4 linked regions of the Schizosaccharomyces pombe genome follow. The protein of the gene in region 2 binds, or shares a complex with, the protein of the main gene of each other region. Each region holds a gene or a part of one and is shown on either strand. Other genes may lie near its edges. A codon is read from its position in the direction of its gene.

What was found.
Region 1: the proteins of rpb3 (region 2) and rpb10 are in contact, whole or in part, in a crystal structure (PDB 3H0G), measured with the Schizosaccharomyces pombe proteins. Residues at the interface, in NP_588324.1 of Schizosaccharomyces pombe: Val56 (codon at 4,386), Met57 (codon at 4,383), Phe61 (codon at 4,371), Arg65 (codon at 4,359), Met68 (codon at 4,350), Ile69 (codon at 4,347), Pro70 (codon at 4,344), Thr114 (codon at 4,212), Glu116 (codon at 4,206), Tyr118 (codon at 4,200), Ala136 (codon at 4,146), Asp137 (codon at 4,143), Ser140 (codon at 4,134), Gly142 (codon at 4,128), Pro143 (codon at 4,125), Leu144 (codon at 4,122), Ile145 (codon at 4,119), Lys147 (codon at 4,113), Leu148 (codon at 4,110), Arg149 (codon at 4,107), Lys150 (codon at 4,104), Gln152 (codon at 4,098), Ala169 (codon at 4,047), Lys170 (codon at 4,044), Ser172 (codon at 4,038), Ser175 (codon at 4,029), Ala176 (codon at 4,026), Glu234 (codon at 3,852), Val236 (codon at 3,846); in NP_594797.1 of Schizosaccharomyces pombe: Met1 (codon at 3,814), Ile2 (codon at 3,811), Ile3 (codon at 3,808), Pro4 (codon at 3,805), Ile5 (codon at 3,802), Arg6 (codon at 3,799), Cys10 (codon at 3,787), Gly11 (codon at 3,784), Lys12 (codon at 3,781), Val13 (codon at 3,462), Gly15 (codon at 3,456), Asp16 (codon at 3,453), Asp19 (codon at 3,444), Arg42 (codon at 3,375), Asp54 (codon at 3,339), Ile56 (codon at 3,333), Glu57 (codon at 3,330), Leu59 (codon at 3,324), Leu60 (codon at 3,321), Cys61 (codon at 3,318), Asn63 (codon at 3,312), Pro64 (codon at 3,309).
Region 3: rpb3 (region 2) and rpb4 share a complex: the UniProt entries of both Schizosaccharomyces pombe proteins name them as parts of the RNA polymerase II (Pol II) complex.
Region 4: rpb3 (region 2) and rpb9 share a complex: the UniProt entries of both Schizosaccharomyces pombe proteins name them as parts of the RNA polymerase II (Pol II) complex.

Annotation. Positions count from the first base shown.
Region 1 is NC_003424.3:4,947,421-4,954,224, forward strand, and holds rpb10 (DNA-directed RNA polymerase subunit Rpb10), read right to left. Parts: upstream 3,867-6,804; 5' UTR 3,815-3,866; coding exon 3,779-3,814; intron 3,498-3,778; exon of another isoform or gene 3,463-3,497; coding exon 3,309-3,462; exon of another isoform or gene 3,246-3,308; coding exon 3,220-3,245; 3' UTR 2,921-3,219; downstream 1-2,920. Other genes in the region: protein Hrd302, read right to left, coding at 1-664; SPOM_SPAC1B3.20 (uncharacterized protein), read left to right, coding at 1,196-1,338, 1,383-1,476; GTPase Ypt4, read right to left, coding at 1,850-2,454, 2,503-2,602; U3 snoRNP-associated protein Nan1, read left to right, coding at 4,012-4,145, 4,317-6,603. UniProt on the Schizosaccharomyces pombe protein: DNA-dependent RNA polymerase catalyzes the transcription of DNA into RNA using the four ribonucleoside triphosphates as substrates.
Region 2 is NC_003421.2:1,782,341-1,792,224, forward strand, and holds rpb3 (DNA-directed RNA polymerase II complex subunit Rpb3), read right to left. Parts: upstream 4,659-9,884; 5' UTR 4,640-4,658; coding exon 4,560-4,639; exon of another isoform or gene 4,518-4,559; coding exon 4,468-4,517; exon of another isoform or gene 4,422-4,467; coding exon 3,658-4,421; 3' UTR 3,099-3,657; coding exon of another isoform or gene 1,635-3,098; 3' UTR 1,452-1,634; coding exon of another isoform or gene 1,446-1,451; 3' UTR 557-1,445; downstream 1-556. Other genes in the region: trp3 (anthranilate synthase component I), read left to right, coding at 1,446-1,451, 1,635-3,098; mrp49 (mitochondrial 54S ribosomal protein mL61), read left to right, coding at 4,950-5,089, 5,271-5,538; SPOM_SPCC1442.11C (uncharacterized protein), read right to left, coding at 5,662-6,210; CDP-diacylglycerol-serine O-phosphatidyltransferase Pps1, read left to right, coding at 7,256-7,377, 7,465-7,696, 7,980-8,343, 8,427-8,431; sqs2 (G-patch type RNA-binding protein), read right to left, coding at 9,006-9,569. UniProt on the Schizosaccharomyces pombe protein: DNA-dependent RNA polymerase catalyzes the transcription of DNA into RNA using the four ribonucleoside triphosphates as substrates. Component of RNA polymerase II which synthesizes mRNA precursors and many functional non-coding RNAs.
Region 3 is NC_003423.3:1,054,007-1,060,646, reverse strand, and holds rpb4 (DNA-directed RNA polymerase II complex subunit Rpb4), read right to left. Parts: upstream 5,139-6,640; 5' UTR 4,986-5,138; coding exon 4,934-4,985; intron 4,896-4,933; coding exon 4,790-4,895; intron 4,745-4,789; coding exon 4,667-4,744; intron 4,593-4,666; coding exon 4,421-4,592; 3' UTR 4,145-4,420; downstream 1-4,144. Other genes in the region: pre-rRNA processing protein Esf1, read left to right, coding at 1-1,125; cho1 (putative phosphatidyl-N-methylethanolamine N-methyltransferase), read right to left, coding at 1,580-1,640, 1,696-2,225; ubiquinone biosynthesis protein Coq7, read left to right, coding at 3,372-4,022; Gtr1/RagA G protein Gtr1, read left to right, coding at 5,943-6,640. UniProt on the Schizosaccharomyces pombe protein: DNA-dependent RNA polymerase catalyzes the transcription of DNA into RNA using the four ribonucleoside triphosphates as substrates. Component of RNA polymerase II which synthesizes mRNA precursors and many functional non-coding RNAs.
Region 4 is NC_003424.3:4,748,567-4,755,609, forward strand, and holds rpb9 (DNA-directed RNA polymerase II complex TFIIS subunit Rpb9), read right to left. Parts: upstream 3,840-7,043; 5' UTR 3,767-3,839; coding exon 3,726-3,766; exon of another isoform or gene 3,659-3,725; coding exon 3,592-3,658; exon of another isoform or gene 3,469-3,591; coding exon 3,419-3,468; exon of another isoform or gene 3,377-3,418; coding exon 3,244-3,376; exon of another isoform or gene 3,169-3,243; coding exon 3,118-3,168; 3' UTR 2,824-3,117; downstream 1-2,823. Other genes in the region: mid2 (septin ring organizing protein), read right to left, coding at 573-2,693; pro3 (delta-1-pyrroline-5-carboxylate reductase), read left to right, coding at 4,228-5,076; sdu1 (PPPDE peptidase family protein), read left to right, coding at 5,617-6,222; proteasome assembly chaperone Ecm29, read left to right, coding at 6,441-7,043. UniProt on the Schizosaccharomyces pombe protein: DNA-dependent RNA polymerase catalyzes the transcription of DNA into RNA using the four ribonucleoside triphosphates as substrates. Component of RNA polymerase II which synthesizes mRNA precursors and many functional non-coding RNAs.

The sequences.
Region 1 (6,804 bases), on a different chromosome or scaffold from region 2:
CATTGGAACCACATTCTTCTTCAAATAAGTGGTCAGAAATAAATTTGTAATGCTTCACAGCTTCCTCATCCGATTGAGGCATATTTAAAGCGATTAAATTATGGTACGCCAGAAATTGATGAGCGTCTAAAGAGCCTTGCTTTGCTGCTAACTCCCAATGTATCCTAGCTAATGCTGGGTTGTTAGAGGCATACTCACTAAAACTAGTGGAGTAAAAAAATCCCATCATATTATTAGCAAATGCACTACCATTCGCTTTTTGTAGCATATCATAATACTTGACGGAATCTTCAATTTCGGGAATAATTTCAAAAAGACCAAAAAATTCAATGTTTGCGAGATAAAGCATGGCATCCGTGTTATTATCATGAGATGCGGATCTTAGCAACTCAATTGCATGGTTTCTTTGAATAATAATCTCTTCATACGTTACGTCTTCCTGCTCATAATAATATCTAAGAATTTCCAAAGCCCGCTGAACTCTCACAGATGGAGTTTCTGCGAAATCGTAGTCGCTCAATACCATGGATCCTATGTTGTTGTCTACATATTGTTGTGCATTCACGATACGCAATAAGGTAGACAAAGAAAGCAAAAAAAATGCTATGCTTAAGATTCTTTTCAAAAATAAACTAACGTGAAACGTCAGAACCGAAACCCCCATAATTTAATAATGATATGTACAAGTTAACAATGACAGTTGTAACTGAAAACAGGGCAAATTTACCCGCTTGAGACGAATTTTACAGCAACAAAAGTGTAACGTTTTTATTGATAAATTTACCGGAGCTTTTCTTTCAATGACTTCCAACAACAAACGCGTCTAAACTAACAGTGGAACAATGCAAGTGTAAGTTATCACAAAAGCGAGAAAGGCAAAGCATTCACAAAATATGAAATGCTCAAAATGGGAAAATAAAAGCTTTTGTTATTGTTAGCCCGCACCTTCAAAACAACTATAACAATGTAGGATTGAATGGCGGAATAAATCAGGCAACCATACCAACTTGGAGTAAATCTTCTTGATCTTAAATAACAAAACTTAATTGGTTTTTTTTAAAAAGATTATGAAAAGAGCGAAGACTGCCAATTTATGGATATGTTATGTTGATGTCAGGTTATAAGTTTGACGTGGAACAGACGATGTGAAACCAACGCAGTAATCGTTACTTACCAAGAACCAAACACATAAAAAATGAGTTCTAATTCCAATACAGATCATTCTACTGGTGATAATCGTAGTAAATCTGAAAAACAAACGGACCTAAGGAATGCATTGCGGGAAACCGAAAGTCATGGCATGCCTCCCCTTCGTGGGCCTGCTGGTTTTCCTGTAAAGTATGCTCTCAAAATTTTTTAATATTAATTCTAATACAATATAGTCCTAGACCATTCTCTCATGGGGGCAATGCGAATTTGGATAGATTGAATTTAAAAGAACCCGTTGATTTGGAGGGTCCAAAAGACGAACAATAAAACCCATATGGACTTTACGGACTGAGTAATTGGCCTTATTCGTTTGTAATGAATTGAATCAATTGATGACTTCTATATATGCGCTTCATAAAGCAAAACTTCTATAGTAAATTTACCCTTTTGTAAATGATCCTTATCGGACTTATTTAAAGTGCGATTATTCAAATAAATTATTTAATTCTCTTTGTTAAATGCAGCTCTATACTCTAACATCTTCCTTCAGTAAATATGGTCATAATTATATAGATGTATCAATCATCAAACTGTGTTTAAGTTGAGAAGAGCTTTCGAAATATCATGAAAATATCCTCATAAACTTAAAAATAATACACGTATGATAATTTAATAATAAATAATTGAATAACTGTTTTTTTCAGCAGCAATAGGATCTGGTCTGTCTTTCCAAACGGACCAGGTCGTCCCAATTCGTAATTGAAGTCCACCAATTCGAAGTACTGGAAGGGTGAACCGGTCTACGGAAACTTAAATCACCATATTGTATACCTAAGGATTGATCTTGGGGATCAATTTCACCCAACTCAATCCTAGTTATTATGGTGGAGACAACGGAAAGAAAACACTCTTCAACGTTGCTTCCTGTATAAGAACTAGTTTCATGCGCACTAGATATATGCTTTTCTGAGCAAAACTCAGCTGCCTCTTCAGTAGAGACTTGTCGTTGGTTTTGTAAATCAGATTTGCTACCAGCCAATACAACACATATTGTTGATGGAGCCATAGCTCGAATATCAGACAGCCAAGACGACAATTCTTCAAACGAGTCCTTGTTTGTCACATCATAGACTAAAACAGCACCTGCTGCTCCACGATAGTAATTCCTAGCCACGCTTCGAAACTTTTCCTGACCAGCAGTATCCCATATTTGTAACTTGATTCTTTTTTGCTGGTTTCCCATTCCAACACTTATAATCCGACTTGCGAAATCGATTCCAACAGTATGTGATACTTGATCATCCCCTAATTTCCATTAAAAACTTGAACATTGTTAAATTTGCATGTACTTACATTGATTCTTAACAAATCTCTGTAACAAGCAGGATTTGCCAGTTCCCGAAGGACCTGCAAGTACAATCTTTACCAAATAGTCATATGATTCTTTGTCCATAATAATAAATAGAATTTTTGGCTTTCAATTGTTCTCTTCTTGACATTTCAAGCTCGTAGGCTCCGATATTGGTATGATGCTCTGGATCACGTAGCACTAACAAATGTAGACAACACCAAAAATATTATTTATTAACTTCTGATTAAAATGTTAAGAGGAAAATGAATTTCTAAAGGACGTAATATGCAACTTCACTTGATTGGCAATGAAACTATAACTCTAAGTTCTTGCATCTACATATCTACACCTAAAAATTCAGTTCTGTACTGTAACAAAACTAACCATCCAACATCAGCTTACAGAATGATTATATGAACATAGAGAAAAAAATAAAAAAATAAATGCAAATTGACTATCCTATGTCCAAGCCTCTATTGAACTGTCACAAAGCACACAAGCATATAATCAAAGTCAAAATGTCAGAAGAATCATGAAGAAAAGCCAAAATTTGCGCGTTATTTGGAATCTATGGGTACGAAATGAAAAAGTGAATAATTAAATGATCGGTCGGTGTGCTTGAGCAATGATGTAAAACTAATTGAAATTCTGCAACAATCCAGGCTTCTCGGCCTAATCTCAAGTATAAACCTCACATTCTTTCAAGCGTGGCTAACCGATTAAAGATTCTTTTGTTTTGACAACGCTAAACACTTAGTTAGTTTTGTTCCTAAGTTGTTCGCAGATTAATCATTATGATGAAACTTACGATTATAGCAAAGTAGCTTTTCGATTAAGTCGACATGAGTAAGAATCATACGACGACAACAATAACGTTGAAGGCCAAGTTTATCCAATGCCTCACCCTCTGTGTTATCCTCTTGAAGGAGTGTGAGATAGGTGTCCCACTTGTCACCAATAACCTGCTGTATTAGCAAGCAAATAATTAAAAAAATAATAGATAGAAATTCTTTGAACAAATAGAAATAAGCGTTCGTAATATACAAACATATGTATAATCGCCCCAAAAGTGGATCAGTCCTCGTTGGAATCAGTAGCGAAAATGGGGCTATTTTTAAACTAAATCTAATACCAAAAAAACTATAATCTAATGCTTCAACTTAGGCTAATCTTAAACTATATACAATACACGAAGCAATTGTGAAATTTTTCTACCGATCCATAAAAAATGTGAATCGCGTTCAACCACCTCCTATAAATAGCAATTTGTTTCCTTACCTTTCCACAAGAAAAGCAGCGAATAGGAATGATCATTTTTCTAACTTTGAACACCCGTCGCCTTCTTGACTTTGTTAGTGTTGTTGGCAAAGGGAAGGTAACCGTGCGTATTGGAAGGAGGTGTGTTCGCCAGGAAAAGTTTTATGCTACAACCAAGTATTTGGCTTTAACCAACCACCATTGCGTTTTAATTCCAACCGGTTTTATTATTTTTCGTTGGAGGAATAAAAATTATGGAAGGGCCTAATTCTATGGAAGTTGGTTCATTGGAGGTCAAAAAAAATGATAAAGACCCTTGGTCTAAAACTGCATATTTAGGGGGTCGTTTGGTTTCAAAGATCCCTGCAGTTTACTCTAATGATAACAAGTATGTTTTTTTTTATTAAAGGTTGGGTAGCCTTGAACAGACTGCTTTTGCTCAATTTTCTTAATTGAAATATATAACACGAAATGATCTGTAAGAATTTCATTCCTGTCTGTACTTGCCGCTGCTTTTCTAGTATTTTTCAGTTTTTAAGTTATTTTTACTAATTTTTAGATTTGTATTTCTTACTTATGATACTTTTATTGGAATTTTCTCTTTGATTACAGGAGATTGTATCAATCGAATTTTCTTTCCCAATAATTTGGCCAATTTATTACCCGTAGCTGTATTATTGTCTCCTGAGAATGCATTTGAGCTATATGTGATTTTTCAAAGCGGATACGTCTGTGTTCATGACTGGTCGAATTCTGAACTTTTGCGCACCATGGAGATTTCCACTCGTGTCCATGCAGCTTCTTTTTCCGGAAAGCTATTGTTTGCTGTAACCGATACTCCTGCTTCAGACTCTGCTTCTTCACAAGATCGATTTACTCTTTATGCCCTTTCCCCCTCCACTTCTAAAGAAGGCAGTTCTATATTGATTCCAACATTTGTCTCTAAGTTCAACGAGTTTTTAGCTCTCGACAGCAGTCTCAGAGATAACAATTTAGCCACGGTAGCAGTCATTACTACTGACAAAGCAATTTTTTCTTTGAACGTTCCTAAAAAGAAAAGGAGCCAAAGATGGATTCATCGTGAACATCTGTTCAATATGCCACAGAAACTTACTAATGTTTCCTTATGTGGTTCAGCCTGTGCTGTTTCTGATGATGAAGGGAAAATTCATGTTATTAATGACATTAGCAATGAGAAGTTTAATCCTCAAATCCTTCATTGGCACGCAAATCCATTGAATGGTTTATCTTGGGCATTGAACGGTGAATATCTACTCTCTGGTGGTCAAGAAGGTGTTCTTGTCTTATGGCAAATGGAGACGTCTCATCGACAATTCTTACCTCGATTGGGATCATCTATTCTCTCAATAGCTACTTCTCATGATTCTGATTCGTATGCTTTGCATTTGGGAGACAACTCTTTAGTTGTTATTCGTGCAGTTGATTTAGCTGAGCAAATTCACGTCAGTGGAATAAATTCATTTGAAAGTAAATATCTAACTAGTACTGGTCCAAAAAACACTTCAAAGCAGCTCCAAGGACTTGTTCAATTTTCCTCTGTGAGTCCCAATGGTGAGCTTTTACTGATGTCTAGCTCTTCCTTTAATGGTCACTCTGTTTCAGTACAAGAATATGATCTAACTAAAGATTCCACAATTCGTAAATTTGAAGCTGCAAGGTATTCTTATTCTTCAGTATCAAAGAATTCAGATGATGCGACAAGTTTGGATAATGGTCATGTTGGTTCTGTTGCTGTCACGTCGTCTAGGAATGGTTTATACATTGCCACCATCGACACTTGGTGCACTAATATTATCGATGAACAGCAGCGGAATGTAAAACAAACTGCTTTGAAATTTTGGCAGTTTGACTCTGTTCAAAAGACATGGGTCTTGATGACTAGAATCGACAATCCTCATGGAAACTTAGAAGTTGTAACTGCCCTTAAGATGATGACAAGCTCTAATAGATTTATTACCGTTGGAACTGATGCTACACTTCGTATATGGGCGCTGTTACCTGGATCTTCCGCTTGGAAATGCGTTGCGATCCATCATTTTGCAAATACGCATTCTCAGGCTTCTATAAAGCAACGTTACGGGTTTTCCAAAGCTCTTACATGCTCTCTCGATGATTCAATTATCGGATTTGGATACGGATCCTGTATGCATTTCATAAACTCAGAAACGTTGGAGGAAATATCGACGGTGGATCTTCCTCATGGAGGACAATTGGAAAATGCTCAATTTTTAAATGCTGAACATTGTGTAATTATCTCTCAAAGGCGTTTACTTGTTTGGAATGTTATATCTGCATCTGTTCAATGGACTCTGGCTTCAAAGTTTACTGGTCTTTTGGCCAGCTCTTCATCTGGAAATGATTTTGCCGTCATTGATTTTAATTCATCTTACTCGCGTCTTATTATTTTTAGTCCTGATTCTCCTAAAATTCAATCCATACATATCTTTAAGACTTTACCAGTAGCTCTTCATTATCTTCATGGCGGTTTTGTTGTTCTTGACAATAAGTCAATTATACATGTATATGCAGGTGATTTGACTACGAAAATACCATCAGCACAGTTATCTATCGATAATACTTCGAGGTCTCTACTTGGTGATTTCCAAAAACGCAATGTTCCTCTTTTGAATTTGGAAAACCCGATATCCGGTAGTCAAGGTTTACATTATAAGCGTCTTACGACTGACATGATTCATAATTTGTTCAACGTTCCTTCAAATTCACCTGTAAATATGCAAGCGATATATAACACATTTTCTAAAATGGCCGTTGGTGAACCTATGGAGAGTTTGGGAACGCAAATAGCTACATTGAACACAGAGTGATTTAAAAAAAAGTTATTTTTGGTGTTCCTCTATGTATAAAAAACACAAAATTAGAAATATGGGATAAATTAGTATCCCTATTGATTGTTCACATTTTTAGCATGAGCAATTTCCTTTTGGATAAAAAAGATACTGGGTACGGATGTGGATTTGTTAATAATATAATTTTCTGCATAGAGCTAAATAATATGTATTATTTAT
Region 2 (9,884 bases):
ATGATCTTCCGTTGCTTGCAATCTAAGTGAAGCTCAATTCCCCGAATCGGGATTTTGTACGACAATATCTTAACTTGAAATCATGAGGAATCAACACTGTAGAAGTAAAATAACTGTTTAATAACAGTGCGATCTTACCTTTATCCTATACTATTTTTCCTATTTTCTTTTTGCATCTGCGTTTATTGAGTGAAGTGAAAGAGGTATTTATTCTACTTAATAACATGAATTTGAACTGACAGAGATCCAATATATAACAAACAAGATTCCTATACTCGTTTAAAAAGGATTTGAATAAACTGTTTTTAGGATACTGTTCTATTTACTTATTTATTTTCAGGCAAAAAAATAGTGCCGCGTGAAAGACCCTCTTTTGCTTTTCCCGATTGAATACATTATACAATTAAAATCCTTTTTTGCTAAAAGATTGAATTTAACCAGCGATTGATTGTTTTTATACGTTCGAGAGTTTCATCTCCGTTTTTATTAACTTGCAAGATCATTCACAAGACGAAAAATCCTTGATCGAATAACATTACTTTTTGCTTATTAAGTTGAACTGTTCAGATTTATAGATGACTAGCCTTGACTGTTCAATTGCACTTAAACAAGCAATCACTTTAATTCACTTCGATCGTTTCGGTATAAGACGCACTTCAAATCCTAAGGGTAGTCGACTCTATTAAATTTATAAATTTGTTAGCATAAATATAACATTATTCTGAATTGCCCTAATAGCGAGTCATGTATTCTCTTATACCAATTCCAACGCCTAAATCCTCTTAGTTCTCTTTCGTTATAATCGTTGTTCCTCTTTTCAATTTCTGAATATTATAAGCGCATGATTCACGAAATTTCATAGATTTTGTAGAGGACTTTTACACAGTGTCTTCTCCTCTATTCAGGTCTGCAACTTTCTAGCTAACATACACACCCTTTTCATCTAAACGAATGCCTTTTATTTTTAACATTTTTAAATCAAACCAAGGAGACTAGATAAATAAAATAAAAAAAAAAGAAATCAAGATCTTAACTAGATTGCAGTTTATGTTCGACGAAACTTTGGCCATTTTAAGAATTTGCCTAAGAGCTTAGGAAAAAAATAAATCTTATCCTAAAACAAAATACTTTTATCGGTTTGTCCGCAGTTAAATATAACTTCCTAATTCCTATTTCCAGTCTTTTATTTACATTTAACCATATAACGTTTTCCAACGCATCCGTTATATTTTTCATCTAATTTAGATGAATTTTCCAACTTTCACAAGTTGTCTTCTTCCAGCAGCTTTACGTTGTTGAATTAATTGGTTCTTTTGTTTTCTTTCTTCGCTTACAGAAAAATTTGGAATTGCTTGTCTTTCTGGAAATAGATCGGTTCAAGTTTAAGGGATTTTTTTGGTTTGCTATTGAATTTGCACTTATTCGAGTATAGACTTGTCAATAAGATGAAGGTAATTTGATTTTTTTTGTTCTAACAAGGAGACCCAACCTATGGAAAATAAATAGTAGTATTGGGATATATTGACGAGTTTAGGATTGGGTCTTTCCTTTGTTGTATTGCTTTTAACTGTAAAAGTCGCCGTTTCTAGGGCTATGAAGCTTAAAATTAATACATGATACTAATACTATTTTAGATTTATCCTGACTTGAAACAAGTTCAAGAGCTTGCTGAAAAGCACAAGGCTAACAAGATTCCCATTTATGGAGTAATCCCTGCCGATATGCTGACTCCTTCAGTAGCCTACTTGAAGCTTAATCAAGGAAAGAAGTATTCGTTTATTTTAGAAAGTGTCACTCAAGGAGAGAGTGTCTCAAGATACAGTTTTATTGGCAGCCCTTATAGAATATTAATGGCCAATGGAAAAACAGATCCTTTGGCACGTTTAGAACGTGAGTTGAAAGAAGTTAAAACAGCCCCTGTTGAGGGTCTGCCATCTTTCAGTGGAGGTGCTGTGGGCTATGTTTCTTATGATTGCATCAAATATTTTGAACCCACTACTGAAATGCCTTTAGAAGATACCTTGGGTCTTCCGGAGGCTATGTTTTTCATGACCGACGATTTAGTCGCTTTCGATCATGCTTATCAGACTGTCAAGATAATTTCTCATGTTTGCATTCAGCAAGGCCGACCCATTGAAGAGGCTTACGAAGCTGCCGTTTTCAAAATCAATATGCTTAAAAAGAAACTTGAAAGTCCTGAAATTCCTTTGCCTGAGCAAAAGAAGGTCCATTTAGGATACGAAGCTAAGTCAAATGTAGGCGAAGACGGGTATAAAGCATTTGTTTCCAACCTCAAGGAACATATCTTTAATGGCGATATTTTCCAAGCTGTCCCAAGCCAACGGATTGCTAGGCGTACAGATTTACATCCTTTTAATTTGTACCGCCATTTAAGAACAGTTAACCCGTCCCCTTATATGTTCTACATCCACTGTGATGATTTCGACATAATCGGTGCTTCCCCTGAATTACTGGTTAAATCAGAGCATGGGCGTATTATCAATCATCCCATTGCCGGAACTGTTCCAAGAGGAAAAACTAAAGAAGAGGATGAGGCATATGCCAAGGATTTACTTGCTAGTGTCAAGGATAGAGCTGAACATGTAATGCTGGTGGACTTGGCAAGAAACGATGTCAGTCGTGTCTGTGATCTCGACACAACAAGTGTTGACAAGTTGATGACTATTGAAAAGTTTTCTCATGTTCAGCATCTTGTTTCTCAAGTTTCTGGTGTTCTGAGACCTGATAAAACTCGTTTTGATGCATTCCGTAGTATATTTCCGGCTGGAACGGTCAGTGGGTCTCCCAAAGTCCGTGCAATTCAGCTCGTTTATGGATTAGAGAAAGAAAAGCGTGGTATATACGCGGGAGCCGTAGGTCGTTGGGGCTATGAAGATGACAACATGGATACTTGTATAGCAATCCGTACAATGGTTTATAAAGACGGAACTGTTTATTTGCAAGCCGGTGGTGGTATTGTGTTTGATTCAGATGAACAAGATGAGTACGTGGAAACTTTAAACAAACTACGTTCAAATGTTACTGCAATTGAGGAAACCGAAAAATTATACGCTGAAGAAGAAAACTCTTCAGCATAAAAGTAAAGGAGACGCTTTCGGTTCTCGTTGTACATGTTATTTTAAAGTGTTGAGGTTTTTAAAAACTTTTTTGTTGTCTTTATTTTTGGTAAACGAATAAAACATCGTTATAAAAAATTGTATTCTGTAATCTCGTTGTCCACTTGTAGCAACTTTGTCTATTCATTGTGAGCATGGTGAGCCGATATAAACTTTCCAACAAAGAGTTCAAGAGGCAATCACCGAAAATTAAAAAGATATCAAAACGACAATTCCGAAAGTGTTCTCTTTCACGAAATTATCTAAAGCTATAATAAATCCAAGTGAAGAAGAACAAAATTATGATATGAGGGAGGAATATATATCTCTATATATGCATATCAATACGTACAATATGTTGTAGCCAAAAGCCAAAAAAAAAAGGATTAGATAAAAATGTGTAAGGTATGACATGAACGGACGCAGGCCATAAATTAAAAACTTTTAGATGATTAAAAAAACGCATCTAGAGTATTTTTTATAACAACAAACATATAAAGGATGAAAATGGATAATTTTTAGAAAAGAATTGAAGCATAGTCTACCACGTGTTTTCTTCACCATTTTGATAGGGAGACCAGTTCATTTCTGCATTCTCCTCCATATTCAGTTCGTTAGCAGAAAGTTGAGTAGGCTGCTCTTCGTCGAGATCACGAACTAAAACTGCAAGCTTTTCCTGAAGAATTCGTAAACCTTGAACCATTATTTCATTGGGTGGTATAGAACCGACACTTTCGACATCCATATAAAACCGACGCGGTTCCTCTTGGAAGTTGAATGGTTCGCCTTCCCGCGGTGGTTCTTCCCAATCGGCATTTTTGCTTTTTGGCCACTCTGCATCTGCATCATTCTCAAACCAGTAATCAGTATGCTGTAACTTGTTCCATGGATCGTATTCAAATGCAACAGCTGAAGTAGGTGACCACTTAGCATGTTCTTTAGCTATACCCTTCTTGGCAATGCAACGCAGAGAAATTTCCTGCTCTTTTCTGAGTTTGCAAATAAGCGGTCCGCGTGATTTTGGATCGGCGAGAATAGGGTGTCCAAGAGAAGAGTTAGAAGAAACAACAAGATCTCTAGCATAAATTTCCATCGTACCCTCACCAGTACATTTGGCATTTAGGAACAACTCGACTGAACACTTGGGACAATACTGATCGCAATCGCAATTGCGCGTATATTCCAAACCTACTGGAGGCGGTTCATCGATGTTGGAGCTATCCAGAGGTATCATACCAAGACGATGTGCTAGAAACTCATCAGGCATGACTGAGGTATTCACATTAATTTCAACTAGGTCAATGGCTAAAACATCATTAGTATTTAATTCAAGAATGAACCTAAATCTTACCCACTGTTGGAATCTCTGCAAGTACAACACGTCGCAGCGAGTTTGCAACTCTTTCAACTATTAGAAGGAATTTCCTAGAGCTTTTCACTTACGCCAAACTTGTATTTGTAAGGACAAAATCCACCGAGTTTTTACTTATATTTCGTATCGTAATATGCGTTTCTGAATCCATAATGAGAATGTGTCGTTTGGTCTATGCTTGTTGCAGAATTTCATACTCATTTCTCCCATTCCGCACTGTTAGGTGATCCCTTATTTAGCATAAGGACACACTAAACTACGTTAAATGCGAGATCAAGGAACTCGCTTTTAAAGAGAGCAAGCAACAATTGACAAGAGAGTACGAATCTACGGCATTAGGCTTAATTCATTAATATTTATATTCTCTGTTCATCCCGACAGAATATTTGAATAAAAACATATTGTTTCAAACTCTTTCATTTTTGTTTGGCTGATTATTACTACAACTTTACATTTTCGCCATGTCTAGCATAGGCGGTAAATTACAAAAATCTTTGCACAAGATTCGTGCTGGAGCTTTAGGGATTCCTTTACCAAAACATATTCAGGAAGTATCTATTCAATATTCTTTAGACAGCCGTTTGGGACATATGGGTGCTAAGTAAGTTTTGTTTATTCGTGTTAGAATCATCGATGTTGTCTATGTACTGGTACCTCAAACATTTTATGCTCAATTCATGTTTAATTCTCTCAAATAACTGCTTGATAATACTTTGTGTGAGGAAGCACTGATCTACGATTCCGTTTCATGCGTTGTTCATTGCTAACGTTTTAAATTCTAGAAAATTTGTAAAAGAATGTCTTCCTTCATTGTATTACAACAATTACGGCTTGAAGTTTAACGTTAATCACCGTTTACCGAACGATCAAACTCCAACATTTTCCATTATCTCAAACAACAAAGTAATCTATTCGTACGACATGCGGTCAAAACAGCTGGAAACAATTTCTTCCGATATTCAAAAAGCGCTTAAAGAACTTCATCACGAGTCATCCCCGGAAAACATTAAGGAAGCGCACAAACAAGATTATTCACCTCCTTCTAATTAAGCAAAAACGCTTTTAAAATTACTTTTTTTCAGTGAACAAAATATGCATCTTTTTTTTTTCTAAAAAACCTTTAGTTTTGCTGCAGTCCGTTTACTGTATTCCTTTGTTTGATGATCCATAAACCTACAATTCCCTATTTTCTTTTTTATTTAAAAAAGTTGTTTGAGTGAAAAAGAATGCTATCTTGAATACGAGCTTTAGTCTAAAAAATACATCGGCTTGCATTAAGATTTTTCTATCCTTGAACGAGAGCGTAAATGCCGTAAAATAAAAGAACAAAGAATGACCGAAATATTCTAACTTGGTATAAATCATATTTGTTGATTGAGTTCTTTGAAAAAGTTTTTGTACATGATTATGAGGGAATGAACTAATGATCGTTTGGTATGACAAAATAGCGTTTCTCCTCTTACTTGATCGTATTTTTCCTAAAGAAATAAAATTTCTGCCAACTTTGTTTATATCCATAATGCAAAATTCCTGCTGCAGTTTATTAGATATTGAGGTTTTTTTTCGGTCAGTGGAGGAAAGTGAACAAATTTGATTGTAGAGTTTAAAAATGGTTGAAATTGTGATCATATCAAATAGCCAACCATCTAAATTACGAAGTACAATATCTTTTTTACAATATCCTCTTACCAAACTCTTCGGGTTTCTGTTAACGATGAGCATGTACTTGTAAACGATTCAAAGTTTAACTGAACAGAAGATGTTATCTAACTTTATCTTATTAAGAGAAATTGTACAAAAAAAAACAGAGTGTTTAAGTTGATGTTTGAAAAGTTTAAAACAATACTCAAAAGTGCGCATTCGATGCTTTGTTACCAGATTAAATAGTAGAACATAAAATTATAGGAATCCATATTTAGTTAGTTATGAATGTTCTTAACTATCAAGCTATGAATAATAGAAAATTTAAAGGAAATACATTCTGTTTTAATTCAAGGTCTTGCTAGTATTTACATAAATAGTGCATACCAAAGTACTGTTCAATGCTAAAAGCTCCAAAAAAAACATAAGCTAGTTCATGTTTACTTTCTATATAATAAAATTTTTTACTTAACAATAGTGGCCGTTTGGTCTAGTGGTATGATACCATCTTAGGGTGATGGTGGTCGTGGGTTCGATTCCCACAACAGCCCAATTTTTTGCCAGTCGAATAACAATAGAAAGTTAGATGAAAAATGGCCCTTAATGTGATCGTGATATTTGTTTCTTTTTGAGTTGGGTCCAACTTGGAATTTTAAATGAGACGTACTATATACACTGTCAAAGGTCATTCATTACTCGGTTTTTAATCATCTTGCTTCGATGCCTTCTACTGCCTTATGCACACATATCTGGATCATACAACAAATTGCCGCATCCCCTATCAGCGGTGGTACGTTCCCTCTTCTTATTTTCTTCATGTAATTCAAAACCACAAACCACCATATTTAGCTTGGAAAATAGTTTAAACACTTCGCTCGTTTTATATTCATTGATTAGCTTTTTCGACTTTTATTCAAATAACAGAACGCACAATGCTGTTTTAACGATGCTAATAAATAAACATTAAAAGATTGATAAGAATTCCAAAGCCTGGATCGCTAAGCATTTCTAGACAATTCTCAATCACAACCATAACGATACCCTGCGGTGCCTTATTTTTGTTAGTTATTCGACTTCCGGTAAATAAACAGGTACAATTAGAACCAGAAACTGCCAATTTTGGAAGATGGTTAGATCACGAGTTTCTCCTGGATTGAAATTACAATCCGATGCATCAAACCAAAGCAATGATAAAGAGAACAAGTTACTGGCCTACGTAAATGATAATAGACATTTTTCACTCATTAGGTATGATTTACGTATTCTTGTTTACACCATTGCGAAAGGACTTTGCAAAAGGATTCATTACTTGAAATACTAACTAGAGGATTGTAGAGCCCTCCACCTTGCAGACTTGATTACTTTAATGAACGGGTTTTGCGGTGTCATGAGTATATTTTCAAGTTTACGTTACTGCCTAAGCGGACAGCAATCAGCTTTCCATTTATGGAATGCAATGTACTTTATGCCATTTGCGTTGTTTTTTGACTTTTTGGATGGTAAAGTGGCTCGTTGGCGTGGGAAATCTTCCTTAATGGGTCAGGAATTGGATAGTCTTGCTGATCTGGTATGTATAACTTCTCAAATCTGTTCCGAGACTATTTTCACATTGGTTGCTTTGACATGATAAAAACACGAGGAACATGATAAGAGGCTTCTTTGGTTGAATTTTTTCTTCATTTTAGCTAAGTCGAGCTTTTTTTTTTTGCTTCTCGTTTTTTACATTATGTCGGTTTGTTCAATGAGTCTGAATTTTTCTCAATAAACATGCGATTGCGTATAATTCTTGATTATATATATTTTTTCTCTCTCTTATCCGGTCTTTTTATATCATTATACTAACAAAATAGATTTCATTTGGCGTATCTCCAGCCGTCTTTGCCTTTTGTTGTGGATTCCAAACGTTCCTTGATACCGTTATACTTTCCCTTTTTGTTTTGTGTGGTCTAACTAGATTGGCTCGTTTTAATGTTTCTGTCAATTCCATTCCTAAAGATGGATCTGGCAAGTCTCAGTTTTTCGAAGGAACGCCCATTCCTACCACCCTCTCCTTAGTAACCGTTTGCGGAGTTTGTATCTTAAAGGGAAAGACTCATGAAAATCTACCTTGGGGTGAGTGGTGTGGAAACACACCTTTTGCATTTCACCCGCTTGTGGTTTTGTTTGTGTTGAGTGGAATTGCTATGACTAGTAAGAAACTCAAAGTTCCAAAAAGTACGTTTCTATTACATTCGCTCAAATATGTTTAGAATGCTCTTTTTTTTTATTTTGTTTATATTAACTGATCGATTTTTTAGTTTGATCAACTGATGCTTTTATTCAATAGAATCCAAATGAAACTTTACAGTACAGCGATCTGGGTATACACAGTTTTTTTCACTTTTTGCTTTTGATGTTACTCGCATGCGAAGCCTTTTCCTCTCTTAAATTTATAATCCTTACTGAATCTCTTCTCATATCCTGTTTTTCCTTTTTTCTTCCATTTCGAAGATAAGTCTGTCCTTCACCTATTCGACTTAACCATTTTTAACGTAAATGCACTCATCATTGTTCATTCCTTCCCCCTTTTCCAAATATGTATTTCCGTCCTTTTAACAATTAGAAGCTGTTTTTCAACTTACCAGTTTTCTATTGCTCTCTTTATGAAAAACTTATGAAATTGAATTATTTCAAGTGATTGTACCCTCAACGGTAAAATATAGTAAAATTCCTTTAATTATTATTTCTTATATAGTCATCATGATGAGCAACCAAAAATAAAATTCTTTATAAAAAAGAAACTTTCCCAAAATGATGGTGAAAAGTAATTTTTCCTTCTAAATAAATAATGTTTTGTAAATATACACTATGAGGATTTAAAATCTCCTCGTCAAAAACTAATGAAGACCCTGTTTATTATTTTTTACAACAGCCACAACCGGATCAACCATTCCTTGGTTTTCAGAACCAAGTCCCTTCCCCCGAGACCAACCCATCATTTCTAAAAGTTGTTTTCCTTTGCCATTATTTATAGCGGGAGCGCTAGAACCAACAACATGACCGTCCATACGCTTTTTTGTATTGGTTGACACACTTCCTTCCTGTATTTGCACGCGTTTCCTTTTTTTCAAACCTTTAGGAGTCATTTCAACAAGTTTGGATTTTCTTTTCTTTGACAATTTCACGTCAGTTTGAAGTGCAAAATGACGATCATACTCAATCATGCTCAACGAAGTCTCTTCTTCCGCAATGTGGCTCATATAATCTAGTTCCACTTCTTTTCTCCTTTCACCAAACAGCATTTCATATTTTTCTAAAGCATCCTCATTGCTCAAGTGCTTCGATGGCTTCTTTTTTGGTTGAACAATCTTTGGCTTCCTTGGAGGAGGTTTTGGAGATGCCTCTACATTTTCCCATTGAGAAGATGTAATAAAAGAACCGTCTTCCACAATAATTGCCATTGTATTAATAAATGTTCGAAAATTCAGCAAATTTACAAAAACCAGCCTGAGTTGGCATTGGTGCTATAAAGAATGCACAACCCAAGAAACTTAAATTTTATGAGATCAAGGATAATAATAGGGATTTATTAAAATCAAGCCTGACTATTCCACAAATTCGCTCTCAATTATAAAAGTTTTGTTCGTGCAGTATAGCTTGCTACTATAAACCAAGTGTGACTTGGTTGATGAATAATTGTTACTTTGGGTAAGTAAATACTATCGCAGTGGTTTTGATCAATTATTAGCAATACCCTGATAGAAAGGCTCAAATAT
Region 3 (6,640 bases), on a different chromosome or scaffold from region 2:
GCAAAGGTTATATACGAAACTTGTGATGGCGCTGAGTATGAAACTAGCGCTAATATTTACGATTTAAGATTCATTCCAGATGATGTTACATTTGACGACGATGAATCTCGCGAAGTATGTACTAAAGCGCCCGAAAAATATGAGCCGAGAGATTTTGTCACCGATGCATTGCAACATTCAAAAGTTAAACTTTCGTGGGATGCTGAGGATCCACACAGAAAGGATTTAATTAAAAAGGCTTTTACTTCTCAGGATATTGAAGATTTAGACTTTAGCGCTTACATTGCCTCAAGTGAATCTGAAGATGAGGATGTAGATGTTATTCGTTCTCGTTACCAAAAGTTATTAAGTGGTGATGCTGATGACTTCCAAGCGAATAGTAACCCTTTTGAGGATGATGACAAACTTGAAGGCGCCAATGGTGAGATGGAGGTTACTTTTACTTCAGGTTTTGATGTTGATAACAATGCGAACTCTTCGGAAAAAGATGAAACCACTATTGAAAAATACAAGCGTAAGGCCGCTGAAAGAAAACAAAGACGGAAAGAATTGAGACAGCTTAAGAAAACAAAAGACGATGAAGGTGAAGGATCCGACGTTGATCTTGGTTTTGATGATCCATTCTTTAAGGACAAGGATGCTAGTCGTAACAATAAGAAAAACAAAAAGGGCAAGCATACTCAAATTGAAGATCCTACGGCCGCGTCTAAAGAAGAACTGGAAAACCTTGTTCGTGAAGATGAAAACGATTCTGAGCAGCTCGATCATTTTGACATGAAGAGTATACTGAAGGCTGAAAAGTTTAAGAAGAATCGCAAGCTTAAGAAAAAAGCCTCCAATTTGGAAGGCTTGCAGGAAGGATTCGAAGCTGATGTCAGTGACCCACGTTTTGCTGCTCTATATACTAACCATAATTTTGCACTTGATCCAACAAATCCTCATTTCAAACGTACTAAAACGGTGGAAAAAATTATGGACGAAAGTCGTAAAAGACGCTCAAATCAATTGGAACAAACACAAGACGGTAAGCCTGAGCTTAAAATCAAAAAGCGTAAAGCTGAAAAAGGAGATCAACGTCAAGAACTTGATCGCATTGTCAAATCTATTAAACGTTCTGGAAAATAAATTAGAAATTGTACTCTGTTTTTCCTCTTGAACGATTGGATTTATAGAGTTTGATTTTGTACATATAAATTGGTCAAAACGGGGTTTTTTTGGTTTGCTAATATATTTGTTTTGAATTTTATTTGATTTTAGAATGAAAGCACGTTAATTTACATGGTGTAAAATATTAGATTATTTTTTACATAAGTATGAATATAAAAATATCGGATCATGGTGTTGAGACCGCGATCAACACACTTAAATAATTTGAAAAAAAAAGCGTTAAACTATGCATAATTATACAGACGTTGAAGTCGTCAAAGTACATAGGGCAAAATCGGTTAAAGGAGGAGCGTTAGTAAAGGTAAGGACTAGTCATGAACAGAACATTCCATTTAAAATTGTTCCTTTTTTTTTTTTTTTTATAAAAAACTCTAATGAAGCTTTAACTTATGGCCACTTCAAATCAGCTGCTTCACTCGGATTTTTTAGCTTGCTTGCTATCACGAGCAGCGTAAATTTTAGCAGTAAAAGGTCTATTAATGGTTAGAGTAAAGAAAAATTTAAAAATTTAAACAGTTGGCAACTTACTCTTCAAATTTCAAAGCTATTCTATAAACGAAAAAGACTTCCAAAGTTAAAAGGAGGCCAGCAACTTTTCCATAACGCAGAGCTGTAGAAAGGAAACAAAGAGTAGAACCGTTGTACATTGGGTTATCGTTGACATTAAATGGGAAACCAGAAACACGCTCTGGAAGCAGAAATCCAAAGTAATCACCAAGATATGTACCAACAAGTCCTAGCTTATACATACTCGATAAGACAAGGACGCTGCCAAAACAAAAAATGAGCTTAGCTATACCCTGCACAAGAGGGTTCATGAAGATACCTAGCGTAGGTTGTTGTTTTAAAGCATTCTGATAAATTAAGTCACGAACTATTCCGGCAACAAAAATACAAGCTGCTAGCATGTAACAGGCCTTCTTAGAGTCGCCATTTGCCAATTTGGTCAAAGTCTTATGATTGTATTCTGAACGTGCAGCAATATTCCATAGCAGAGGGTTCAAAGCAATAGATACAGCACAAATTAAAAAAGAATTATTGATTTCAAAAATGGCCATGTTTAGCGAAAAATATGCTTTTATAAAAGGTTGATATAAATACGAAGTTGGTTTGGGGTAAAGAATCAAGCTCATTCAAACGACGTCTTTGATACAACGGAATTTAACGATATTGCTATTTTATAAAATAATGAGAGAAGGCCTGAAAAACATAAGTACTCATTTGTGTTTAAAAGATTAAATTAGAAAAAGGAAAGAAATGATTGATTTCGCATATTTCAAATTGTAAATTTTCGATGGGGGAGGTGGGTGTGGTTCTGGAGCTTTTTTTCTATAACAAAGAAAATTAATCCATAATGCCAAATTACATTCTTGAATTATTAAGCAAGTCAAAAATTAATTGTGATGGGGTGTCTTTGAGTCTCTACTTGTACTTGTTATATCAGTAATACTGGAAATTTGTATATCTTCGGATTCCCCTTCGGTTGAACTAGTAATTAATTTAAAGTTTTTTAAGCGAAAATACAATGTTGAGTTGAATTGGTTGGAAAAAAGATAGGAAATTGGAGTTTACTTTAAAACTGCAGCTTAAATATGTTTTTTTTTTTTATTGTTTATAAGAAGCATTTTATTATTGAACTTCTATATCCGTCAAGATTGACGAACACTATGAAACTGTAGCAAAGCCATTTAGCTAAGGAAAAAAATGATACATTGCTTCTTTCCTGAAATTACGCCACTGTTTATTGAATCTCTTAGTTTAAAAACTAAGTATGTATTTTTCATTTTGACTTAAAAATAAAGTTGAAGCAACTGGTATTCACTGCGTTAATCAAGCAAAAGAATAAACGACAAGTTTATCGAATATTTTATTCCATAAAAATAGAGTGAACATCAAATCACTTAAATTTAATTCCTTCTTAACTTAACCATCTAGCTTGAATTTTGCAGATTTGTTCAGAGATTGATATGAAATACACCTCAAGCCTAACGTGTTACTCAACTAAGCATTTCCGCCTAAAACGTTCGGTTTGGTAGAGAACTTCACATTCTAATCCTCCACACCCAATCAACATCATAGTCTCTTTCGTCGAATATTTCAATCTATTAGTGAATTAGAAATATTGGTTTATTGTTGATTAGTAAAATTTCGTTTTGAAAATTGATAACTCTGTGTAATTTCAGGCCTTTTTACCATTACAAAAGATGTTGTCACGTAGACAGTTAATACCCATTGCTACCAAGTCGGTTTCTCCTTTTCTTCGCTCCTCTATAACATGCCGTAGAATTTCGATGGGCCGTAAAGAACTGAGCGAGAAAGACTCAAATATTTTGGACAGCGTCATTCGTGTCGATCAAGCAGGTGAATTAGGCGCTAATCAAATTTACAAAGGTCAGCACTTTATCCTTCAATTTACCGATCCCAAAGTCGCACCTACCATTCAGCATATGTGGGATCAAGAAAAGTACCATCTCGCAACATTTGATAATTATGTCTTAAAGAATAGAGTCCGTCCTACCTTTTTACGTCCTTTCTGGGACATCGCTGGATTTGCGTTGGGAGCAGGAACTGCTTTGCTTGGAACCAAAGCAGCTATGGCTTGTACAGAGGCAGTAGAAACGGTAATTGGCGGACACTATAACGACCAACTACGTGAAACGGCTCATTTGGAAAATAAAGCTCCAGAATTTAAAGAGATTCGTAGCCATTTGGCAGAGTTTCGAGATGACGAGCTAGAGCATTTGAACACTGCAGTCGAAGGTTGGAACGCAAAGGAAGCTCCAGCTCATGCATTGCTTACCAATGCCATTCAAATGGGTTGCAAAGCGGCTATCTGGATGTGTAAACGATTTTAAATACTTCAAGTTTTCCTGCCTCAAACTCAACTTGCTAGTCCTTTATGAAGCAAAGAACGCCCATTTGATTCAAAATGTTTAGTTTTTCTTGCTTCACAATAGTATGATCCTTGTTAAAACTTACTTAATCTAATTAATACATTTTATCTAAATTCCTTTTCGCGTGTATTCAGTGTTTGTATTATATTTTTTTAATAGACTAATTAAGAAGTGTATGGTGCATAAAAAAACATAGATTTTGTTAAAAAAAGTTTTATGACCCCTCATAAATTATGGAATAATAATGACAAAAACGTCGTATTATAAATCCTGATATAGCTAATAGTTTATAAGACCGGAAACCTTTTAAGTTTTCATAATTGACAATAAACAGACTTGCCTGAGATCTATTTATTGCATTAATCTTGAAATTTACGCAAAGTGGAAAGCTCATCCAAGATGCCTTGAAGATTTTGGTCATCAATTTTATTCGCGAGACTAGGAATCAAGGTCCTAGCCTCTTCAGCGTCTTCGCAGCAGAGTGTTCCCAATTGTGCACGTTCAAATTTATGGAATCGATTACCAAGAATTCTATGAGGTTAGTCAAATATTTGCATACGGCTATTTTCCTCTAAAATTCTATTCAATTCTTTGAAATTATGTACCTTTCACATGCATAAGTGGCTTCAGCCGTTTTAAACCGAGCAAAAACATTGAAGTAAGCTACTGTTTTTTTCATCACACTATCCTAGTTAATTAAAAAAGAATATGCATACAATAAGACATACTCAGTCATTGGAATCTCACCATTAGTTTCGCGTGCTCGTTGTGCCAGAACTGTTTCAATAAGGATTTTGGCCTCTGAAACCGTCAACATATCCTCATTCTCAAACTCTTTTTATATTAGCAACAGAATAAAATTCAAATCCAACCTGGACCAAGTTTTAATTGTGCAGCATCTTCCTCAAAAATAGCCCTCGGCATTATGAATAGATGCTCGCAAACACTCTCTTCAGAATGTTGTTTTTTCTTTTTATCTAATTAAATCAATAACTATTATACAAATGTATTCCCAAAAATAATGTCAGAATGCTCTTTATGCACAACAACCAGCTTTCTTGCTGTTGCTTCGTGTCTAAAAATCGCGTCCTTGATTGCAGCATTTCTATAGCCGCTGCTAATAATAACGATATTTTATATTTATCTTAAAACTAAATAACGATTGTTCTTAATAACATTATGAATTTACCGAGATGTACGGAGATGTCTAAGAAAAATTTATTTTATTGATATTTCTTAATCATTTGTCTAGCTTAACGACGCCAGGGTTTTGGAGTATTTTCTCGTTAAAACCAAAGAGCTTTCTATTAAAATTATTCTCAAGTCTTTGCTTTAGAGACTTCGTATAGCTAAACGTTAATGCGCCTTAAAAACCTCAGATATGAGGATTCTTCTACTAATTTCGTTATATTCATTTGAAAATACGTTACATTCTTTTAAAGGGGTTATTTCTATTTTTACTGTGCTTAATTCTGAGATGAACCATTCGTTCTTGATTTATATGTTTGTTTTTTATAAATTTGTAAATTTATTTTTATTTTAATTTTAATTCTCACAATTTGACTTTGAATTTGATTTTTAATATGTAGGTTAAGGAAAACAGACTTCGTAACTTTACGATGTAATCGACTGAAGTGCATGTCGTTGTACCACTAATCAACTTAAACTTTTCTGTCTGCGGGATATTATAGAATCTTTTCGCATTCCTTTACCTACATTTCTCCCTTTCTTATTTTTTTACTTTTTCTTTGCTTGTGATTTTAAAAAAGAACGCATAAAAACACGAATTCACTCACAATTGCAGTGACAGCTGTTTTGTAGAATTTTATAAACTAATTGCTTTACCCTTAATCTCAAGATAGTTCTGTTATTCTAGAAAAAATGAGAAAAAAAGTCCTGTTAATGGGCCGCAGTGGCAGCGGCAAAAGTTCAATGAGAAGCATAGTTTTTAGCAATTATGTTGCCAAGGACACGAGAAGGCTAGGTGCTACAATTGATATTGAACATTCGCATGTAAGGTTCTTGGGAAATTTAGTTTTGAACCTATGGGATTGCGGTGGACAGGAGGCGTTCATGGAAAACTATTTATCTGCCCAGCGTGATCACATATTCAGAAACGTTCAAGTACTTATCTATGTTTTCGATGTTGAGTCAAGAGAATTTGAAAGAGATTTAGTAACTTTTCGTAATTGTCTAGAAGCAACAGTGGCCAATAGTCCCCAAGCTCGTGTATTTTGTTTAATACACAAGATGGATTTAGTTCAGGAAGATCTACGTGATTTAGTTTTTGAGGAACGTAAGGCAATTTTGTTAGAAACAAGTAAGGATCTTGAAACCACTTGTTTAGCTACTTCTATTTGGGATGAAACATTATTCAAAGCATGGTCTGCTATTGTCTATACTTTGATTCCTAATACGCCTACTTTGGAATCGCATCTCCGGGAATTTGCCAAAGCTGCTGAGGCTGCTGAGGTAATATTATTTGAAAGAACAACATTTTTGGTTATTTCTTCTTATTCTTCTGAGTCCAATCCTGCCACTGATGCTCACAGGTTCGAAAAAATTAGCAATATTGTTAA
Region 4 (7,043 bases), on a different chromosome or scaffold from region 2:
AACTGAAGTACAAAAACGCTAGACAATGAAAAAAAGTGATCTCATATACGTTTTAGATATTGCGAAACAGCTAAAAATGGTATTTGAACTATATAGCAATTACGGTATTAATTATTTACAGAATAATGTAATTAAATTATTGTGGAATTTTTATTTTTTGAAGTTTCTCAAATGGCAAGCTTACGACTTAATAAATTCACTCGACAACGCCAAGCTAGAGTATTTTAAGGAATTTGATTTATTTACAAAGCCAAGATAAACGTTTTGAGACAACTTATTTTGACAACGTTTCTTCGGATCAAGGGAAACTTTCAAAAATGAAGTATTTTGCAACTGAAGTATAAATATACATGGGGAGTAGTAAGTAATTGCTATCCGATTTTTAACAGCTTATATAAAACGAGCTCATTTCAACCGAATCTAGCTTCTCGATGGTAGATAAAATGAACATTATGTATTATGCGAGGGAAACAACAAAACCAATGAAAAATGCAAGACGATATAGATAAAGGAGAAGATAAAGACCAAATGTGATTTAAATAGAAAAAGTGAGGTCGAAGCAAATGGTCAATTTAAAAACTCAGCGAAAGAAATGATTTGGTCCAATTTTTGTGAACCATTGAACATTGCCCCAAATGCTGACGAAGTGTAGACATCCACTCATCTTTTTCGCCGACGGTTTCAGCGTAAAAATCGATGTAGTCCCCATTACTGAAAATGATACGGAAACCCGATTCGAAATACAGATACCCTTCTAGTTCTTCTTCATCACTATAATGGTTGTCATCCACGATATGTGTGGCTTCAGACAAATCAATCGTTGCTCTGCGAACTTTAGAGAATTGTTGAAAAGCTACTAACTTTGATCCTATTAATTGAAAATAGCGACGACGCCAATAAGGGCAATCCCCACCTTGTTGACATAGATAACCATCACACAATAAAGTTCTATCCCATTCAGCAAGCTTTAAGTCATACATGGCAGACTCGATTGAAGCGGGAAGTTCTTTCAGAGAGACAGGAAGCGCTGGTAAGAAAAATACGTGGATTTCGAGTTCTCCTACTTTTCGAGGGAGAGGCTTGACATCTTTAGCTGCCGGATCAACAGTCCATTTGTTCATGATTGGTAGAACCATAGATTGACAACGGCCTAGTGCGGTTCGGCTTACAGAATCAGTGTTAATGGTAACTTCGCCGAAAGTTCCATCTTCAGAAACAAATCCATGAAGTGCTTCTGAAACGGGGTCGGTAGTCATAGACTTTCTCTTATTTGTTGAAAATACTTTTCCAAGTGTAGAACGAGTGCGAACCTTAGGTGGATCGTAAGCCGCACGGAGCGTACATACAATTGAAGAACTAATACTTTCATCAAAAGTATACTCATTTTCAATTTTAGTAGTAGAGTGTAAGGCGTTCCATGGTACTTGAATGTGCTTACCAGAGATTGTATAAGTGAACCTAGTGGTCATCCCCGATGCCAAAGGAATAGTTAAGTTTCTGATTTCCATAAGACGGACAAACAATCTTCCACTCCCGCCGGTTTGTTGCAAACTACTGGACAAATTTCGCGATAACGATTCTGGCATATAACAAGAATTGACAACGCGCCGCGAAGTTTGCATTTCTTGTTTCTGACTAGTGGCATGTACAACTTTAGAATTCTGTCGTAGCAAATATGTCCTAGTCAAAGCGTCAAAGGCTGAAAGAACATTTGTAAAGCGAGGATCTGGTAAAGAAACCACTTTTGGAAGAAGCGGTATCGGAGCATTTTCGTCAAGAACATGAGGGGAATCTAAAGAGGTGATGGAGCTCGTAAGTGGCTCTTCGTATTCATGAATAGAATCTGAACGGTAGATATCAGTCCTACAATTCTCTCGGTTCTCATCTGCGAATGATAAGCGAGGAGGTGTCTTTATATCTTGGAACGAGGACGAATCTTCAGAGAAACCAAAAGATGCAATACTGTTTATACCTTCGCCAAGACCAACCATGTCACTAACACTGCTAACTATACTGTTCGTAAAACTAGTGTCAGATGAATTATGAGAGTGAGTAGGTAACTCAAGTTTGACAGGTGGTGAAATTGAAACTTCTTCAAATTCAGCTGGCAATGTGTCCTCGTTAAAAAGCTTTGAATTACAAACGGAACGAGCAGGATTTTTTTTAGGAATTGGTATGTCGCCATGGCCCTGGTTAGATGAATTACTCTTTATCGAGTTGCGTGGAGTCGAGCTACGACTGCTTTTATTTGAAGCCTCATCATCAGATAATTTGATCAAACATGAATCGTTCAATGACAGTATGTTCTCTTTGTTTACGTCTTCAACACTTGTACTACTACTATCCGTTTCATTCATGACAGAGTAAGTTGGGGTCCTACGAACTTCTGTAGAAAAAGGAAGAAGAGACTGATGATCATCAAAACTGGAAGAATTTGATAACGTTTGATCATAAGGGAAACTATCGCCATCTTCAGCATCCTCAGATTCAGCAAAAGAAGGGGCCGTAGACGAGATGTTACTGCGATTAAAATTTCTCATTGTACTTTCTCGAGATATCGATGCGATTGTAGAGGCATAGTCAGAACATTCGTAATCAGTACTTGGGATGGGAGAAGGAATTCTCAATGCTCTATGGATGTCAGCTAAATACATTTTAGCATGCTGATCCTGTTGAGAAGCAGTCATCAACATTATGGAAAGCCTTGGAATTTAACAGCTCTGCTGAAATTAGAATATAAAAAAAAATAAAGGCACAAAGAATTAAGGGTTTTTATTTAATTGGTATTCGGATTACAAGGCTATTCCGTATGGATTATTGTATACAAATAACTGAAACAGTTTCAGTATATTCCAGAAGGTACACCGAATGTGAAATAAAGAAATTCAAGTGTTTTGGTAGGCGCGTTGCTTAATATAAAGGAAGGAGGCGAGCATATGATTGAGAGGCTGGTAAATCCATTTTCGGCAAAGGTGGCTGGTATCACTCGAAAATCCAGTTTTCCAGCACAGAAGCGAGAGAGTGGTTACATCAAGCGGATCATTTAAACCGAAGTCTAAGAGCCATTGGTGGACGCAGCTAGTTTTACAATCCCTTGTTAGACCGAATTGTCGCATATTACTGTTCTTCAAAAGCAAATCCACAATGTACGCAAACATAAATCAGAGTCTAATTAAGTCAGTAAAATTGTTTTTAAACCTAAATATTAAAATTGTTTTCTCAATGAAACAATGCGAAACACACCATCATAGTATCACCCCGACGAGAATGAGTCTGATAAAAAACTGCTTCATGTTGATGACAACGCGGGCATTCTTTGTCTGATCTAGGTAAAGTAGGGTCCGTTGAAGCGTCGTGACTGACCGTCGTGTTTTCTCTACAAATTTAGTGATTATTCGAAGGATGAAATCTAACTTACACATTGGAGCTTTGTAACTCATGGCGATAAACTTTACTAGTAGCAGCGATCTATACAAATTAGCTGATGAGATATTTAAAACTTCCAAATGATGAGGAAAAAAGTAATCGAAAAGAACTTCGAATTTTTTTCTTGAAGTGAATAAACCCAGTAGGAGAAAAAAACAAGCTTACCTCTGAGTAATCACAATTACGACAAGCTAGCCTCAGAACACGATCCACTTTATCCTCTCTAGGGTACCTATTTATTTCATGTTAGTGTTTTCAAACAATTTTCAGTGTCATCTTTTTGAGAAACTAATCCGTACAGCATATTATTGCATTCTATACAATATTGAAAATTTGACATTTTAAAAAAGCAAACAAAAGTATTTTACTTCAACGCAATAAACTTTCAAAAGAACGTGGTGGTTAGTGGATATGGAAAATACAGTGGACAACAGCGTCCTGATGGTTCACATCTATAAGTTCGAAAAAGCTTTTGTTTATCTACAACGTCTCTACAAGATTTCGTTAAAAACTGTGTAGCTGCTTTAAAATTTATTTGCGATATACTTAATATTACTAATTATATAGAAGATATATTGACTTTAACGTGTAGCATTATTCAAACATGGACTAGTCCTACAAACTTGTAACATCATACTTCAGTATCTTACATTATGCACATCAGCGAGTAAAACGGTAATTTACAGTATGAGTTTGATTTTGGAATTAACGATCCCTTAGCATATGCTTTAGTCGAATTTATTTTCGCTTTAAAAGAAGACTACAAAAATAGTTAAACATTTTTAAGCATAACTTTAAAAAATGTCGGGGTTTTGTGTTCTTGGTTGTGGTACAATGGGAAAAGCACTTTTGACTGGAATCTTTGATTCCATTGCTGAAAATGGAAACGATGTTTCTGACGAAATTATCATTCCGAATAAGTTCTATGCTTGTGTCAAATTTCCTAAAGAAAAAGAGGATGTTCAAAAGCTTTTCGGAGATCGTGTTAAAGTTGTAATGGGGGCCAAAGAGAATGCCGAGATGGCTGCGATTAGTAACGTTTTGTTGTTGAGTTGTAAGCCTCAGGCCGCAGAGGATGTTTTGAATTCCCCAAAGATGAAAGAAGCGCTCAAAGGAAAATTAATTTTGTCAATTTTGGCTGGCAAGACCATCTCTTCATTGCAAAGTATGCTTGATGAAAGTACTAGGGTGATTCGCATTATGCCCAATACTGCTAGTCGAATCCGTGAAAGTATGAGCGTAATTTGCCCGGGACCCAACGCAACTGAAGAAGACATAAAGTTTGCTGAATGGGTATTCAATGGCATTGGACGTTCAATGAAACTTCCCGAAAAGCTTATTGATGCTGCTACCGCTGTATGTGGAAGTGGACCTGCTTTTGTTGCTACTATGATTGAGGCTATGACAGATGGTGGTGTAATGATGGGTATTCCGTTCCCTCAGGCTCAGGAATTGGCTGCCCAAACTATGGTTGGTACAGGTCGTATGGTTTTACAAGGTCAACATCCTGCTATGATTCGTAATGATGTTTCAACTCCTGCCGGATGTACAATTAGTGGTTTGTTGGCATTGGAAGATGGAAAAATTCGAAGCACAATCGCACGTGGTATAGAACAAGCAACCAAGACTGCTTCTGGCCTGGGTAAATGATACTAGCAAATTCATTTTGTGCTATTAAATATCCTGGTTCCAAACATGGATTTGTATATAAAATTCTTGGGTTAGTACTTCTGTTTCCTCTTTAAAGCTAGTTTCGTTATCTAGTTGTATTAAAGCGTTGTGACTTAGTTTCATTCAATGATTCCTCTGTTTAAGCTTGCAATTCTGTTACATTACTAATAATATGCGTATTCGAACAGCGAGATTATATTTCATTAACTTTTTAGAACGTTGTATGCAATTAAACCCATTTCATTGCGATTGCTATCGTAGTGAATTTAGCTAAAGGTATTCAATATTGAAGAAACGTACTATGTTTTGATTATTTTAACATTGTCATAGTCGTACCGATGTAAACAAAATCACCACCATAAACAGCTCCCGTATTTTAAATTTTTATCCTTAATTCGACTCTACTTTTTTTTATTAAAAATACTTAATTGTACAGGTATCGAATCTTAAAATTCAACCTGCTTAAGGAGGACCAAGGAAATTTGCAAGTTGTTCTTCGCCATCCGAACGTATTCGAATATGAAAGTATACATTAATGTGTATGATCTAATGCCAGACAGTCCGGTAAACAAACTAGCATGGACTCTTGGACTTGGTATTTACCATACAGGATTGGTTTTAGAAGGTAAAGAATATGCGTTCGGAGCACACGAAATTCCTGGCTCCACCGGTGTGTTTGCTACCATGCCAAGACCGCCTTTAGAAGGGTGTAGATGGCGCTGTTCTATTGCTTTACCTAATTGTACCCTCCCTAAACCCGACGTGGATAGAATTTTGATTCGTTTGAGTCAAGAATTTACGGGGTTATCATATTCTTTATTAGAGAGAAATTGCAATCATTTCACGAATGCTGCAGCAATTGAACTTACGGGCAGCCCTATCCCTTCTTTTTTAAATCGAATTTCTCGAATTGGATTGGCGTTTCCTACGATCACGAATGCCTTATTACAGCACGGTCAAAAAAATACATCCGACGTTGATGATTCCTCGGATTCTTCTTCAGATGTAGATGAAGAAACTTTAATCGTATCAAAAAGTAAAAAAGCTCATAAAGATATTCCTAAATTTTCCGCACCTCCTCCTTCTGCTGACCTCAATAACCTCATCACTGATTCACTTCCTTAAGTCGCATGCTGTTAGTCAGCCTTTTAACCTACGAAATACAACACACACATCCAAAATTGTAGATTTTATTTATGCCTTGTTCTATCAATTAAGTGTAAAGTCAATTTGGGACTTTTTTTTAATTACTTGCTTTCTGATATATATCTCTTTATTCATCTTTGTTTGGTATTTTATTGTAGAGTGTTTTTTTATTAGTGATTATAATTAACTCTACAATAATGGCTGAAAATGAATTGAGATTATTAAACAATGCAGAGCTGAAGCTCGCTCTAGCGGAAAGCGAGGACTCCTTTCAATCGCTTGTGTCAGTTTTTTTATGTCCGATTTTACTAAAACTCGATTCGCCTCATGAAAGTGTGAGAAACAAAACAATTTCAATTGCAAACCACATTATGACTAGGCTCAACAATAACGCGCAAGCCATACTACCTCTTGAAGCCTTAGTAAGCCAGTACGTTGAAGCAAATCAACCTTTGCGAAAAAGATTTCTCCTTGCTTTCATATCTATAGGCGAAAAAAGGATACCTTGTTCTGAAAATTTGGCCCTTCTCCAGATTTGTCTAAATCATGTCAATGAATACCCATTAGTATTATTGACATTGACAATTCGTTTACTTCGTTTTTCAAAGCCAACTTCGGCTATTACATGCTCTAACGATGTCATTTTATCTCTTTCTTCATTCTATTTGATTCAGAAAGATCAAAGGATTTTTAGTGACCTGCAATTTTCCCAAAAAACAGTAGATTACCGCTTGAGTCTGCTTCGGTGGATTCATTTATCTAGCTGGCCATCAAATTGGAAGTGGTTGGCTTACTTTTTT